Linked DNA regions of Stegostoma tigrinum. The protein of the gene in region 1 interacts with the protein of each later gene in a pairwise test. Links are inferred from orthologs where the notes say so. Each region holds a gene or a part of one and is shown in the gene's direction. Other genes may lie near its edges.

Evidence for each region.
Region 2: the proteins of jade1 (region 1) and yju2 interact in a two-hybrid assay, tested with the Homo sapiens proteins (2 studies listed by BioGRID and IntAct). The two-hybrid records come from large-scale screens. The link is inferred for Stegostoma tigrinum from reciprocal best matches to the Homo sapiens genes JADE1 and YJU2.

The regions. Positions count from the first base shown.
Region 1 is NC_081354.1:19,716,868-19,723,789, forward strand, and holds the start of jade1 (protein Jade-1), read left to right. Parts: upstream 1-3,902; 5' UTR 3,903-3,914; coding exon 3,915-3,963; intron 3,964-6,922.
Region 2 is NC_081383.1:33,067,375-33,074,380, reverse strand, and holds the start of yju2 (splicing factor YJU2), read left to right. Parts: upstream 1-3,993; 5' UTR 3,994-4,055; coding exon 4,056-4,079; intron 4,080-4,324; exon of another isoform or gene 4,325-4,450; intron 4,451-6,465; coding exon 6,466-6,566; intron 6,567-7,006.

The DNA.
Region 1 (6,922 bases):
GCCATGAGTGTATAAGGAGTACATTATAGGGCTGAGTATGCAGCCTTGCAGGGTACCAGTGTTGAGGATTATGACTGAAGTGTTGTTATTACCTATTCTTACTGATTGCAGTCTATGGGTTAGGAAATAGAGGATCCAGTTACAGCTGGGGGAGCAAAGACCTAAGTCTTGAAAGTTAGAGATGTGTTTGTTTGGAATTATGCTCTTGAAGGGAGGGCTGAAGTCAATAAGTAGGAGCCTGATGTGGGTATCCTTTTTATCCAGGTGTACTAAGGATGAGGGTAGGGCCAGGAAGCTGGCATCTGCCGTGGACCTGTTGTGCTGGTAGATGAGTTGCAAAGGGTCAAGGCAATTTGGCAGGCAGGTGTTGATGTGAGCCACTACTAACCTCTCAAAGTACTTCATAATTATGGAGGCCAGAGCCATGGGGTGGTAGTCATTGAGTCATACTGCATGAGTTTTCTTTGGCACCAGGATGATAGTGGTCTTCATAAAGCAGGTGGAGCCTTGTGGATATTAGAAGTTATTCTGATAACAGAAAGGATGGGCAGAGATTGAGATAGATGTTTAAGGAGCTACTTGCTGGGTGTTGCCAGATCCGCAACGCGGCAATGCTTTTCCTTTGTGTTGTACGACGACCCCTGAATTTCTTTGCTTTGATAAGTAATTTGCAAACAAAATGAAGAATGCAGTTTAAATGTTTTTTTCAGATAAAGGCTCAGATTTAAACTATCAAATGCCTTTTTTTTAACTTGGGAGAGAATTTCTGGTTGATAAAGAGCAAGTAACTACAGCAAATGATGTTTACTTTTGCTTTAATGGAAAACAGTAACATCACAACCAAATCATTTTGTTGAGCCCGGAGCCCGGAGAGAAAGAGGTATGAAAATGGCCCACAGCTTTCAGTCATCCGCCACTTCAACACACCACCATGTTTCCACACCAATATTTCTGCCGCAGGCCTGCTGCAGTGTTCCAGCGATCCTCAGCACAAGTTGAAAGAACAGTGTCTCATTTTCCGCTTGGGAACATTGCATCCTCTAGGGCTCAACATTGCGTTCATAAACTTTACAGCCTGCTTCCATTCTTCAATGTATTTATATCCAACCCTGCACCCAGTTCTGTCATGACATAGATCTCAATGGTTCCATGACGTGGTTTGTTCAGCACAGACTACCGGATCTCTGCTCCCCTACGCTCTTATTATCATTTAATGAGCTACTTTCCCTTCTGTCCTCGACTAGCATCTATAATCCAGTAGATAATGGGAACTGTGGATGCTGGAGAATCCGAGATAACAAAGTGTGGAGCTGGATGAACACAGCAGGCCAAGCAGCATGTCAGGAGCACAAAAGCTGACGTTTCAGGCCTAGACCCTTCATCAGGAAAGAGGGAGGGGGAGAGGGTTCTGAAATAAATAGGGAAAGAGGGGGAGGCAGACCAAAAATGGATCGGGTAGAAGATAGGTGGAGAAGAGAGTATCGGTGGGGTGGTAGGGAGGGGATAGGTCAGTCTGGGGAGGATGGACAAGTCAAGGGGACAGGATGAGGTTAGTAGGTAGGAAATGGAGGTGCCACTTGAGGTGGCAGGAGGGGATAGGTGAGAGGAAGAACAGGTTAGGGAGGCGGGGACTAGCTGGGCTGGTTTTGGGATGCAGTGGGGGGAGGGGAGATGACAAGAGAGTTGCAGTGGGAGAGAGATCACCTGAGGTTGGTTCCGAGGGAGGAGGGTAACTTCTTCAGGTTAGGCATCCTGGAGGAGGCATCGCAGTAAGATTACAATTGTGATCAGAGATAATGGGAACTGCAGGTGCTGGAGAATCCAAGATAACAAAGTGTGGAGCTGGATGAACACAGCAGGCCAAGCAGCATCTTAGGAGCACAAAAGCTAATGTTTTGGGCTTAGACCCTTCATCAGAAAAGGGGGATGGGGAGAGGGTTTTGAAATGAATATGGAGAGAGGGGGAGGCGGACCGCAGAAGGATAGAGGAGAAGAGAAGTGGAGAGGAGAGTATGGGTGGGGATAGGTCAGTCCAGGGTGGTCGGACAGGTCTCCCCATCCCCCTTTTGTGATGAAGGGTCTAGGCCCGAAATGTCAGCTTTTGTGCTCCTAAGATCCTGCTTGGCCTGCTTGTTCATTCAGCTCCACACTTTGTTATCCATAATCCAGTAGTTTACTTCCCGCTTTCTTGCTTCTCTCTCTCTCACGCACACACTTGGACCAATCTGCCCATCTCCTGCTTCCACAACCTAGTCTTTAGCATAAATACCACATTTTCCCAACTACTATCGGTTCTAATGAAGCGTCACTGGACTCGAAACGTTAATTCTCCTTTCTTCCCACAAATTGGACAGACCTGCTGAATTCCGCCGGCAGTTTTCTGTTTCAGACCTTCAGCACCCGCAGTTTTTATTTCATTTTCGCTGAAACGAATCAGTTGCACTCCTATTTCACATGCTCGATCTTCGAGATATTCCCTTCCCACGTGTTGTCGAACATCAAGAACTCCGCCTCACTCCAAAGCCAGCAATTTCGGATTTAACTTGCTGTCAACCCTGAAGACCTCCCCCGATTTCAGCAACAGCAAACCTGCCTGTTTGAAGTGAAATGCAAATATTCTCTTAAATATAAGCAGAATACTCGGGAAATCTGAAAATAGAGTTTCGAAGAAGGGTCATATCGGAATCGAAACGTTAACTCTGTTTTCCACTCAGAGGATGCTGAAAAGACCTGCCCAGTTTGTCTAGCATTTCGATGTTTATGCCAACATTTCCTCTTCCCTCACCCAATACGGTGCAGTACCAACATTTCCCTCCTTCTCTACAATGCCACGTCCTCCAATTTCACCTGAACAATACTGCAGGTGACAGTGAAAGAAAAGGACATCGAATACATTCCTGTAATTACTCTTCTTTCACAAAAAAATCACATTTTCTGGCCACAAATTCGGACGTCACAATTTTTTCTTCTAGCAAATAGAACGTACCCATTCGCAAAACATGTAATCCGGACCGACCCATGCCTTTCAACATGCAGGAAAGCTAGGGCACTGACCCGCAACATGGATAACAATTAAACTCTTGATGTCACTTAGTGTTCAGTGAAAAGGGATTAATGCTTCCAAAATGCGTTGTAAATGGCATTAGATGCAAATTCCTTCTTCACAGCTTATTTGCTACATAGTATGAACAGAACTGCATCATTTTAAAAAAATACCCTCCTTCCTGAACATATTTTTGAAATTCGCACGTTAAACAAGGTATCAAGTTTTAGAATTTTTTTCTGTGGAAAACGAAAGCTAGATTGCAAAGGAGGTTTACAGTAATGCTGTTGACAAGACATGGGAGTGCTCCCTCGTCTGGCAGCAAGTGTGGACTAACAGAAAGAGAAGACAGAATTCTTCCTTCACCCAACCAACTCCACCATAAGGACCAACGTCAGTCAGTGCATATGTGAAAGAGGGAGCGAGAAAGAGAGATAGAGGGAGCCACAATCTGCTACTGCAGCTGTTTGAACTCCACATTCAAAAAAATCTTCATTTCTATCCAGTTTCACCTCAACAGACCAGCTTTAAAGCAAAAACAAATACAAACACACACAAAAATATTACAGCAGGTACTGTCCTCTTTCAATACTTTCTAAGCGTTTTTGGGCTCGTTATTTAAGGGGGGGTTGTAAATAATTGTGGAGGAAAGAAAAGCAGGACGATGGGGAGTACAGTACGGAGGAAAGAGAAAGCAGAGAGGACGAGATCTGAGATTTAAAAAAAATGTCAAGCTTTTGATGTCTTTTCCGTTCTTGGCCGAGTTTGGCCTGCAAAGGGGCTTTTAGTTCAGCAATTTAATTCCGAAGGTCGCTGATGATGGAAATAATATAGTACGTCATTAATATGGCGCCAAAAGCTTGTGTGTGATATGAGTGAGAGCGCAAGCGGGGGGGAACAGAGCGAAGAAACGACATGGGGTGTGTATTGGTGGGGGGGTGGAGGAATTGTTTCTCTTTGCAAAAGTTGAGGGGCGGCTGCAGTGTTGAATATGCATCAGGGTTTCTATTTAAACATTGCCGGCGGCGTTATTTAATATCCTGCTTGTAGGGCTTTAATAATTTGCGGCAGGTTTTCATTGGCAGTACGCAGTGATAGCATATGTGGGGTTGTGCGGAGTTGTTTGGGGAGTCCCGGCTGGGTTCTCCCTCTGTGTATCCATTAGTTGGGATACACTGTATCCTTTTGCAGCCACTGTTGCAAAGCGGCGTGGAACGTGACGCGGATAGAACGCTCCGGGTCCGGCTCGCGGATCCGGGCCAGCGGCTCGTGCTCACTTCGCGGCGCGCAAACCTGCAGCGAAGCAAGCTCTCTTTCTTTTTTGGCTTTCTCCCTCCAGGGACAGGGGAGCGATGGTTATTTTGAGCATCGCATTATTTAAATTGCAGAAGGAAATAGACTCCTAGCGGAAGCATTCGTGCCTAAACTCAGCATCGATTTAATGTAGTGGGTGGGAAGAGTCTCGAACAAGTGTCCCGGCTTTTTTGGTTGGGTGGGGGTGAATTGAGGATAGAGAAGAAAAGGGATGAGGACTTGATCTCTTAACATGCATTGCGCAGGTTTGAGGCACTGTAAGGGTTAAAAAGAAGTGTTCTGTAAAAAGGTGCACTGGCTGTGGGACTTTAGGATACCAGCTCCAAGTAGCTGTTGTTTAAAAGGATTTTTTCTGCCTCTCGAATGTCAGTTTTGTGTGTGGACGTGTGCAATAAAGCTTCTAGTTTCCCTCCCGCGCGCACGCGGTTACTATTGTTTACACGAACCATAACCTCACTCAACCGTCCCCCAATGGGTTTTTTTCAAATCCTCTTAGCACAATTTTAGAACTGTTAAAATTTATGAATGGGGCTTTGTTTCCTGAATTTAGTTTCATTTCTGTCTTTTTTTTATGAGGGGGTAAAAGAATCTGAGTGGACTTCTGGAATGCTTTAGTGCAAACACAGCTGCTGCCATTCGCCACAATTAATTTAAAGAAAGTGCGGCAAAGTTAGTTATGTTGGGAATCAACCTCATGGCATTAAAGTCTTCGATCTTCCGTTGAATACTTAGCGTATGTTGAGCTAAAGAAACGTTAACGTTATTTTAAGAAACATAGAACTAGCTTCGTCTGGCCGTGAGATTGCAAGAGAAACATTTGGATGACATTAGGTCATATGAAACTTTATCCCATAGCATTTGGTTCTTTATCTTTCCAAGGAAGAGTTGACACAAAGCTGAACTATTTTGGAGTGATATGATAGCTCACGTTAAATGTTGTTCTTCAGTGTTTTTACATTCCTCATTCAGCTTCACTATTGGCTTGAGGGTGCCTTGTTAAGCTTGCAGTTTGGACACATGCATGTGATGCTGTGACCTCTTCAAAATGTTGCCAATCTGCGGCCTGCCATGATGATAAATTCTGGGATATCCTGTGTTGCAGCTATCTCATTCAGCCATGTAATCACTGTGGCCATGGAGTTCCTTGACATATCTATCGTTTCATTTTACTTTGTTCAGAGGTCCACCCCAAGATGTTCTCATGGCCTGGATGGATAGGAAGATGATATTAATGGTTCTCCTGACAATAAACTTTACAAGTAATACAGCCTGATATGATCTCTTCTATTAATTTTTGACATGGTCAGCAAACAGAATGTCTTGTTCTGGCTTGACATTTTCTGATGCCCAGATGTCCTCTCTGTAATTGGTGAAGTTTATCAAGTCTCAGAGGACTCTCAGAATAACTGACCTCTCGTCACAAGAAGTAGATCATCCACCGTACTAAGCTATGTCCTCCCTCATTATACAGTCCGAGAATGGGTTTGTGTGACATGTACGTTGGCTATCCTTTGGCGTGGTATTGTTGACCTGCACACATTCTCCATCAGTTTTCTGTCCATCTCTGATTTCATTTAACTGCTGAATTATTGTTGGAAGAGTTTGGTTCCTTTTGATGTAAAGGTTTCCACCACTTTAACGAAAACCACATCACCTTGTTCAGGACTTGCCATGAGAAAATGTGTGACAAAGCATCTGTTGTTTCCCCAGAATATGTGCTGTCTTTGCATCAAATTACATTATCTTCAGTCTGAATCATTGCACTCATGATGGCATTTTAGTCAACTCCTTAGAATTTAAAACTGTTGTTAAAGGGTTTCTGGTCATCTCCATTGTATAGTGAAGACCAGTAACGTAATTTGAACTTTCCACGAATCTGTAGTGTCTAATGAGTCTTTCCTTATCACTGCATATCTTTGTTTATCATTTGTCTGTCATGGAACAGGTGTAATAAATTGAGCTACACTTTCCATCAGGCTTTATCTGAAACAGTGTAGCTCCCAGTTCTGTAGAACGTGGGTTCGCAGCCATAATGATGTGTAGTTCTGGGTCATATTGAGCTAAAATATTGTGTGATCTGATTTTCTTCAAAAGAAGTTCTGTGCTTCTCAGCACCTTGTCTTGCCATATTGTAATAGTTGTACATATTGTAATACATTGTGGCTCTGTGATGACAGCTAGGTTTTGACTTGGCTTATTAATCCCACAAATCTGTGGAGCTCAGTCAAGTTCTGAGGAGCTGGAAACTCTTTGATTGCTTTATCCCTCTTTGTCAACTCTGACACTGGATGTAACTATATTAGGCCAAAGGAACTAAACAGTCATTACATTTCCTGTAAATACTGCAGCATAGTTCACACTTCACTCCAGTGTCATGTTCTGAGTAGACGCATAGATCACAACGTCATCCATGTGACATATAACTCCCTCCAATCCTCCTTGGAAATGTGATACGATCCCTGAAAGATGCTGGTGTGATGTTGAAAGGTCATCTGTTGAAACAAATTCTCCCAAACCATGAAATGAAGATGCTGAGTAACTCAGGCTCTTCAACAAGGGTAGTTG
Region 2 (7,006 bases), on another chromosome or scaffold:
GTACATTCCTCGTCAGGCACACAACCAAATGCTTTTACAGCCTCCAGACTCAGTGTGCTCCAGCTAAAGGTGTTAGATCGTGGCTCTTCTGTGGCTGGTTGGCTCACCGAGCTGGTTTGGTCGTTCGCAGACATTTCATTACCCTGCAGGGTAACATCATCACTCCAGCCTCGATGAAGCGCTGTTGTGTTTTCCTGCCTGGTATTTAAACTCAGGGGTCCATTGGATTTGATTATCTCATTTCTGGTTTTCCTTCGCAGCGCTGTATATATATAGGGTCTAGTTCTATGTATTTGTTGATGGTCTTCTTGGTGGAGAACCAAGCCTCTAGAAGTCCCTGGTGTTGTCCCAATCGAACTGGTGGTTCTTCTTATCCATGTAAATGGAGATGAGTGAGTATTGGTCATTTTTTTTTATATGAACACCAACTAGCAACAAAAAGACACAAGCAATACTCACTCATCTCCATTTACATGGATAAGGAGAACCACCAGTTCGATTGGGACAACTCCAGGATCCTAGGACAGACCAAACAGAGACAAGCACAGAAATTTCTAAAGGCTTGGTTCTCCACCAAGAGGACCAACAACAAATACATAGAACTAGACCCTATATATATACAGCACTGCGAAGGAAAACCGGAAATGAGGTAATCAAATCCAACAGAAACCAGAGTTTTAATACCAGGTGGGAAAACACAACGGTGCTTCATTGGAGGCTGCACTGATTATGTTACCCAGCAGGGTAATGAAATGTCTGCGGAATAATGAACAAGCTCAGTGAGCCAACCAACCACAGCATTCACAACCCAAGCTACAAATCTACTCAACAACCTGAATGACTTTTCTGCACTTCACCTCTGCAGCAGCTATCTGAAGCTTTAGCATATCCCTCAGCCTGTAATCCCGGACTTTGGAATGCGCAAGTCTGTAACACTCAGTCAAAGACAACGCCATGCTGGAAGATCAGTAAGGTACAGAGTGGCGTAACGATCTCCTTCTGCACCATGAGGCTTCTCTGATTCTATGGTTTGGACAAATCTATTAGCCACAGTTCATGAGGGCAGATTAGCATGGAATGTAACATCTGGCAATAAGACCTTCTTTAAATAAATACAAAAAGAAGAGAGGTCAAAGTGAACATAGGACCTTTAGAACATAATTCTGGGAAGATAGTTATGGGGATCAAGGAAATGGCAGAAGTTAATCAAATATTTTTCATCAGTCTTTATAGTGGAACAATTCCATTAATAGTAAAGGATGTAGAGAGAAATTAAATACCAACACTAGAGAAGTAGTGTTAGATAAACTAATGGAGCTGAAGGCAGAGAAGTCCCTGGCCCACTGATGGCTTACATCCGAGGATCCTATAAGAAGTATCCACTCAGATAGTGGCTGCATTGGTTATAATTTTCCAAAAGTCACTGGATTCTAGAGAAATACCTGAGGATTGCAAGACTGCCAATGTGACACCCCTAATCAAAAAACGAGGGAGGCAAAAGAGGTTAACAATAAGCCGATTAGCCTAACATCGCTTATTGGAAAAATACTGGAATCATTTATGAAGGAAGTAAAAGCAGAACATTTGGAAAATCATAATTAACTCAAACAAAATCAGCTTTATGAAAGGACAATTATGTCTAATTTATCAGACTTTTTTGACGATGTTTCACCAAGAGTGGATAGAGGGGAACCAGATGTGTTGTATTTGGACTTCTAGAAGGCATTTGACAAGGTATCTCAAAAAAGTTTATGTCATAAGAGCCCAAAGTGTTGGAGGTAGTATATTAGCATTGAGGTTGGTTGGCTCACCAAGCTGGTTTGTTGCTTTGCAGACATTTCATTGCCATGCTTGATAACATTCTCAGTGCAGCGTCTGATGAAGTGTCAGTGTGTTTTCCCACCTGGTTTTTAAACGCTGGGGTCCGTAAAGATGGATTGCATCACCCCGGGTTTCCTTCGTAATGGAATGTATATGGGGTCGAGTTCAATGTGTTGATGAATAGCATGCTTCGTGGAGTGCCATGCTTCCAGGAATTCTCGTGCTTGTCTCTGCCTAGCCAGTCCCAGGGTCTTGGTGTTGTCCCAGTCGAATTGGTGGTTGTCCTCGTCCATGTAGATTGAGATGAGTGAGTATTGGTACAGTATTATTACAGTATCATTAGCATGGGTACAGAATTGGCTAATGGGCAGGAAATAGCGAGTGGGTATCAGGGGTTCTTTTTCACATTGGTAACCTGTAAACACTGGGGTTCCACAAGAATCGGTGCTGGGAGTGCAACTGTTTGCAATATATATCAGAGACCTGGAGACAAAAAGTGAATGTGCTGGAACCAAATCTGCAAACGATATAAAAATAGATTGAAAGGCAGGTTGACAGGAAAGCTTGTGACAAATCCTGAAGTTGTCAATGTCACTATGTAAATGAAAAATTTTCTTTCTTTTTTTAAATGAATCTTTAAGGTTACAACTCCAGGCTGGGAAGGAAGAAGATAATTCAAATTATGATCACTATCCAGCCCACACTGGTGAGATACATTCTCAGGTGGAGATGACTTGACTTGGTTACCTGATGCCCACTGCAGTCAAATAGCCTATTGTGGCTTGATGTCTGGATTAACGCATGAAGAATAAGGTTTTGGCTGTTGGCACTAGGACTGCAGTCAAAGAGGGTCAAATCGTTACAGGAGACTGAGGGATAAAGTGAATGTGAAACATAGCAACTTATTTATATCTTTATGATTCTACAAATTAATACCTGGTTCAGGACTAGGGGTAGCTAGTCTCTGTGTATTCAAAATATGGAGGGGTTGGTGTTGGAATGGGTTGGACAAGATCAGAAGTTGGATGACACCAGGTTATAGTCCAACATGTTTATTTGAAATCACAAGCTTTTGGAAGACAATCCCTTCGTCAGCTGAAATGAGACAGCAGACCAAACAGGCACAGAATTTATAGGCAGACAAATCGATGGTACAGAGATCAAAAGATCATCTAAAAGGTGTGAATGAAGTGTGGTCAGGCCAAATAATAAGTCTCTGTAGGTGATCAAGAGTCAGATGGTGTGAGTAAAGTGTCAACAGCAGAATAACAAGTGAAGGGATGACCTATAATCTGATTAAATGAGGCAGAGAGATAATAACAAAAAAATTAAAAATAAGGTGGTGGCAGAGACAAACCAAATGATTAGAATAACATGATAGGTATGAGTCGCATGCCAAAGCCTAATCAAAGTAATAAGTAATCCCAAAACTGCACAAACTAATAAAAGTAGCGAGATCATAGCACTTTAACAAGGTTATGGTGATAAGACAAGGCAGTAAGGAAGATTTTACAGATACAGAACAGTGCGGTGGGGTTACATGTAGCACGAAATGAACCCAAGATCACGGTTGAGGCCGTCTTCATGGAAACGTTACTTGACTGTCAGGTTCTGGTCCGCGATTTTGTGTTGCTGTGTATCCCAAAGGCTGCCTTGGAGGATATCTACCCAAAGAATGTTGTGTCTGTAAGCTTCACCTGACAAAGGGGTAGCCCTGCAAGAGCTTGTGATTTCAAATAAACCTGTTGGACTGTAACCTGGTGTTGTCCGATTTCTGACTATGTATTTAAAATGGTGGCATTCCTTCTTCCCAAAGCATGGAAACTTTTCAACATTTTGTGAGTTAATTCCATCAAACATCTTGCATCATATGGTACAATATTTAACAGGAATAGAGGGATACTGGTTATATTCGGTGGAAAATACAGTTGAAAAATAAATGGAACGGCAAATTGCGAGAGGGGTACAAACAGCTTACAGAGAGATGTCAATAGTTTCGGTAAATTGGCAAAAAAAACTTTTGTCGGCTAAAAAATAACGTGAGAAAAATGTGAAATAACTAAACTGGTGATCGAGACCGGAACGACGGCTGGTGTCCGGCCGGAGCACAGGCGGAGCGGCTTCCGGCAGCCGCTGACTGACAGTTGCATTAACCATTGGGAGCGGGAAAGGGTGGCGATGCGAACCAATGGGCGCGGAATAGGGGCGGGGCCTAGATCATCGGCTCGTGAAAGATGTCGGAGAGAAAAGTGTTGAATGTGAGTGGGGTTGAGGGGGAGAGTGAGAATGTGAATGTTGGGGGTGTGTTTGGACACAGAAAGTGACCGCTGACAACCCCCCCCGTTCCTATCCCCACCCTGTGGGGCCGTTGGTGTTAGCACCTGAGACTGAGCACCAGCCCAGGACAGCTCGCCTGGCAGTGGGACCCCAGTGAGTCCCAAATTATACCCCCGCGCCCCCCAGATGGGCCCTGCCTGTGTGTGTGTTCCCCAGTGGGTGCAGTTGGCTCCAGTGAACAGCACCCATCCTTCACATACGAAAATCCAAGGCTCACTGAACATCTAGACTCGCCAGCTTTAAGTCCATTTAAATGGACGTTGGATAAACATATGGATGATAATGGAATAGTGTAGGTTTGGTAGGCTTCGGATTGGTTTCACAGGTCGGCGCAACATCGAGGGCCAAAGGGCCTGTGCTGTGCTGCAGTGTTCTGTGTACTATAATCACATCAGACAGTCCATCTGTGATGGAATAAAGCTGGGTTTGCTTTACAGCTGAAGCCCCTTTAAACCTCCAGTTAGTATTTTTTTGGAAGAATTGTACATCATTCTTCTTGCGTCCTCTCCCTTATTAATAAGCGTTTATTTGCATTGTTGTAATCTTTTTGCTTAGGTAACAAAAATATCATTTTCAATTGTGCTTAATTAAGCATTTTAAAATCTGTATAAATATGTTTTTTTTTCTAATAGCAGATATTGTACTTGCACTCTTTCATCAGGTTAGAGTCTCTTCATACATGCTTGTTCTGTTAGTGCTCTCAAATATAGAAAGCTTGATTAGTAAGTTTACGGATGACACTAAAATTGACATTGTAGACAGTGAAGAAGGTTTTCTAAGATTACAAAGGGATCTTGATCAAATGGGCCAATGGGCTGAAAAATGGCAGATGGAGTTCAGTGGATAAACGTGAGGTATTGCGTTTTGGTGCAACAAACAAGGGTAGGGTTTATACAAATAATGGTGGAGCCTTGGGTAGTGTTGTACAATGAAGGGACCTATGGATGCAGGTGCATAATTCTTTAAAGTTTGTGTCACACGTGGACAAGGTGGTTAAAAAGGCATTTGGCACATTTGTCTTCATTGCTCAGTCGTTTGAGTGTAAGAGTTGGGACTTTACATTGAGATTGTACAGGATATTGGTGAGGCCTCTTCTGGAATACTGTGTCCAGCTCTGGCTGCTTAGTTATAGGAAGGATATTATCAAGCTGGAGAAGGTTCGGAAGAGATTTACCAGGATGTTGCCAGGAATGGTAGGTTTGAGTTGTAAAGGAAGGCTGGGTAGGCTGGGACTTTTTTTCCACTGGAGCGTAGGAGGTTGAGAGATGACCTGATAAAAAATTATAAAATAATGAGAGGTATACATAGAATTCATGTTATTTGTCTTCTCCCTAGATTTTGTGATTTCAAGTCTAGGGGACACATTTCTAGGTGAGAAGAGAGAGATTTTATATAGATATGAGGCAAGTGTTTTACACAGAGGGTGGTTCACGTGTAGAACGAACTTCCTGATGAAGTGGTAGATGCAAGTACAGTTCCAATGTCCAAAAGATATTTGGATAGATATATGAATGGGAAGGGTCTGGAGGGATATGGGCCAGGAGCAGGTAGGTGGAACTATTATGTTCGGCATCGACTGATCAGACTGAAGGGTCTGTTTCTGTGCTCTATGACTCTATAAATGATAAGCCTGATTCATCCTTGTTAAGACAGAATCCTCTTCTCATTGAGGATATCCTTGTGTCATGTGACTTTATCACTGTGCTAATTCGAGCATATTTCAAACAGATCCAGCAATTCAAACCTGGAGGCATTGTAAGCCACCAGCGACAACTGAATTATGTTTAACTACAATCTGTAACCTCATTGTCCAACATATTCCTATCAAAGATATCCATGAAAGGTATTTCAAATTATCAGAAAGGTCTGTTTGTGCTCATGGTAACACATGACCTGTAATTTGGTTGGATTTTACTGAATTAATTTTTAGCCAATTTCATTATCTTTTTTGGAAACAAATAAACCTAGAATCTGATGAACTGGTCGGAAGAGCTGTATGTGAAATGAGCCCAGGCAGTATCAGACTAATTCCGAACATGTTGATTGAATGCATAAAACTGCAGTTTATTTTGTACCAAGTGGTAGAGTCAACAGAATGGCTAAAGGGTTAAAATGATAAATTTTTAGTGCTGCTGGTGTGCTGTTCTGAAATTTGGACAGTGGAGGAACTCTGTTTACCAATGAACCAAATGCTTGAATACCTCTCTGAATTCTAACATCCATCACTTTTTTCAGCATACAAATGAACAGGAAACTGTACGATTCCTAAAAGAATGCTGATGACTGTGTTTCTTTTCTTTCCAACAGAAATACTACCCACCGGACTTTGATCCGTCAAAAATCCCAAAACTCAAACTTCCCAAAGATCGTCAGTATGTGGTCCGATTAATGGCTCCTTTCAACATGAGGTAGGCACAAGCTGCTCATCAACATCTCACCTGCTAACCTCTTTGAATTAATTTTGTATGCCCTAAAGAATGTGTATTGCTTACATTGTTTAATAATAAGTTTAATTTAATAATGGAAATTAAAGTGTTAGCATTCACAAGCAATTACCTGATATGATTTCTCCACTAGCTTGCACATAATGTGTCCCACATTCTGTCCCAGTATCGTAGCATCATTGGGTAAATAGACAGTGGAAGATATGTCCCCAACCTTTGTGGATCATTGTATACTCACAATTTATGTTACCAGGTTCCTAAATCTGTCATGATATGGCCTTCTACATAAAAAACAGCCGAGAATGCGGTAAATCTGCATTTGTTATACCAGCTGACAAACTCTTCCACAGCTACTGTCTAGGGGGAAAACAAACTCAATCATTCAATTTTAATTCTCTGTTCCT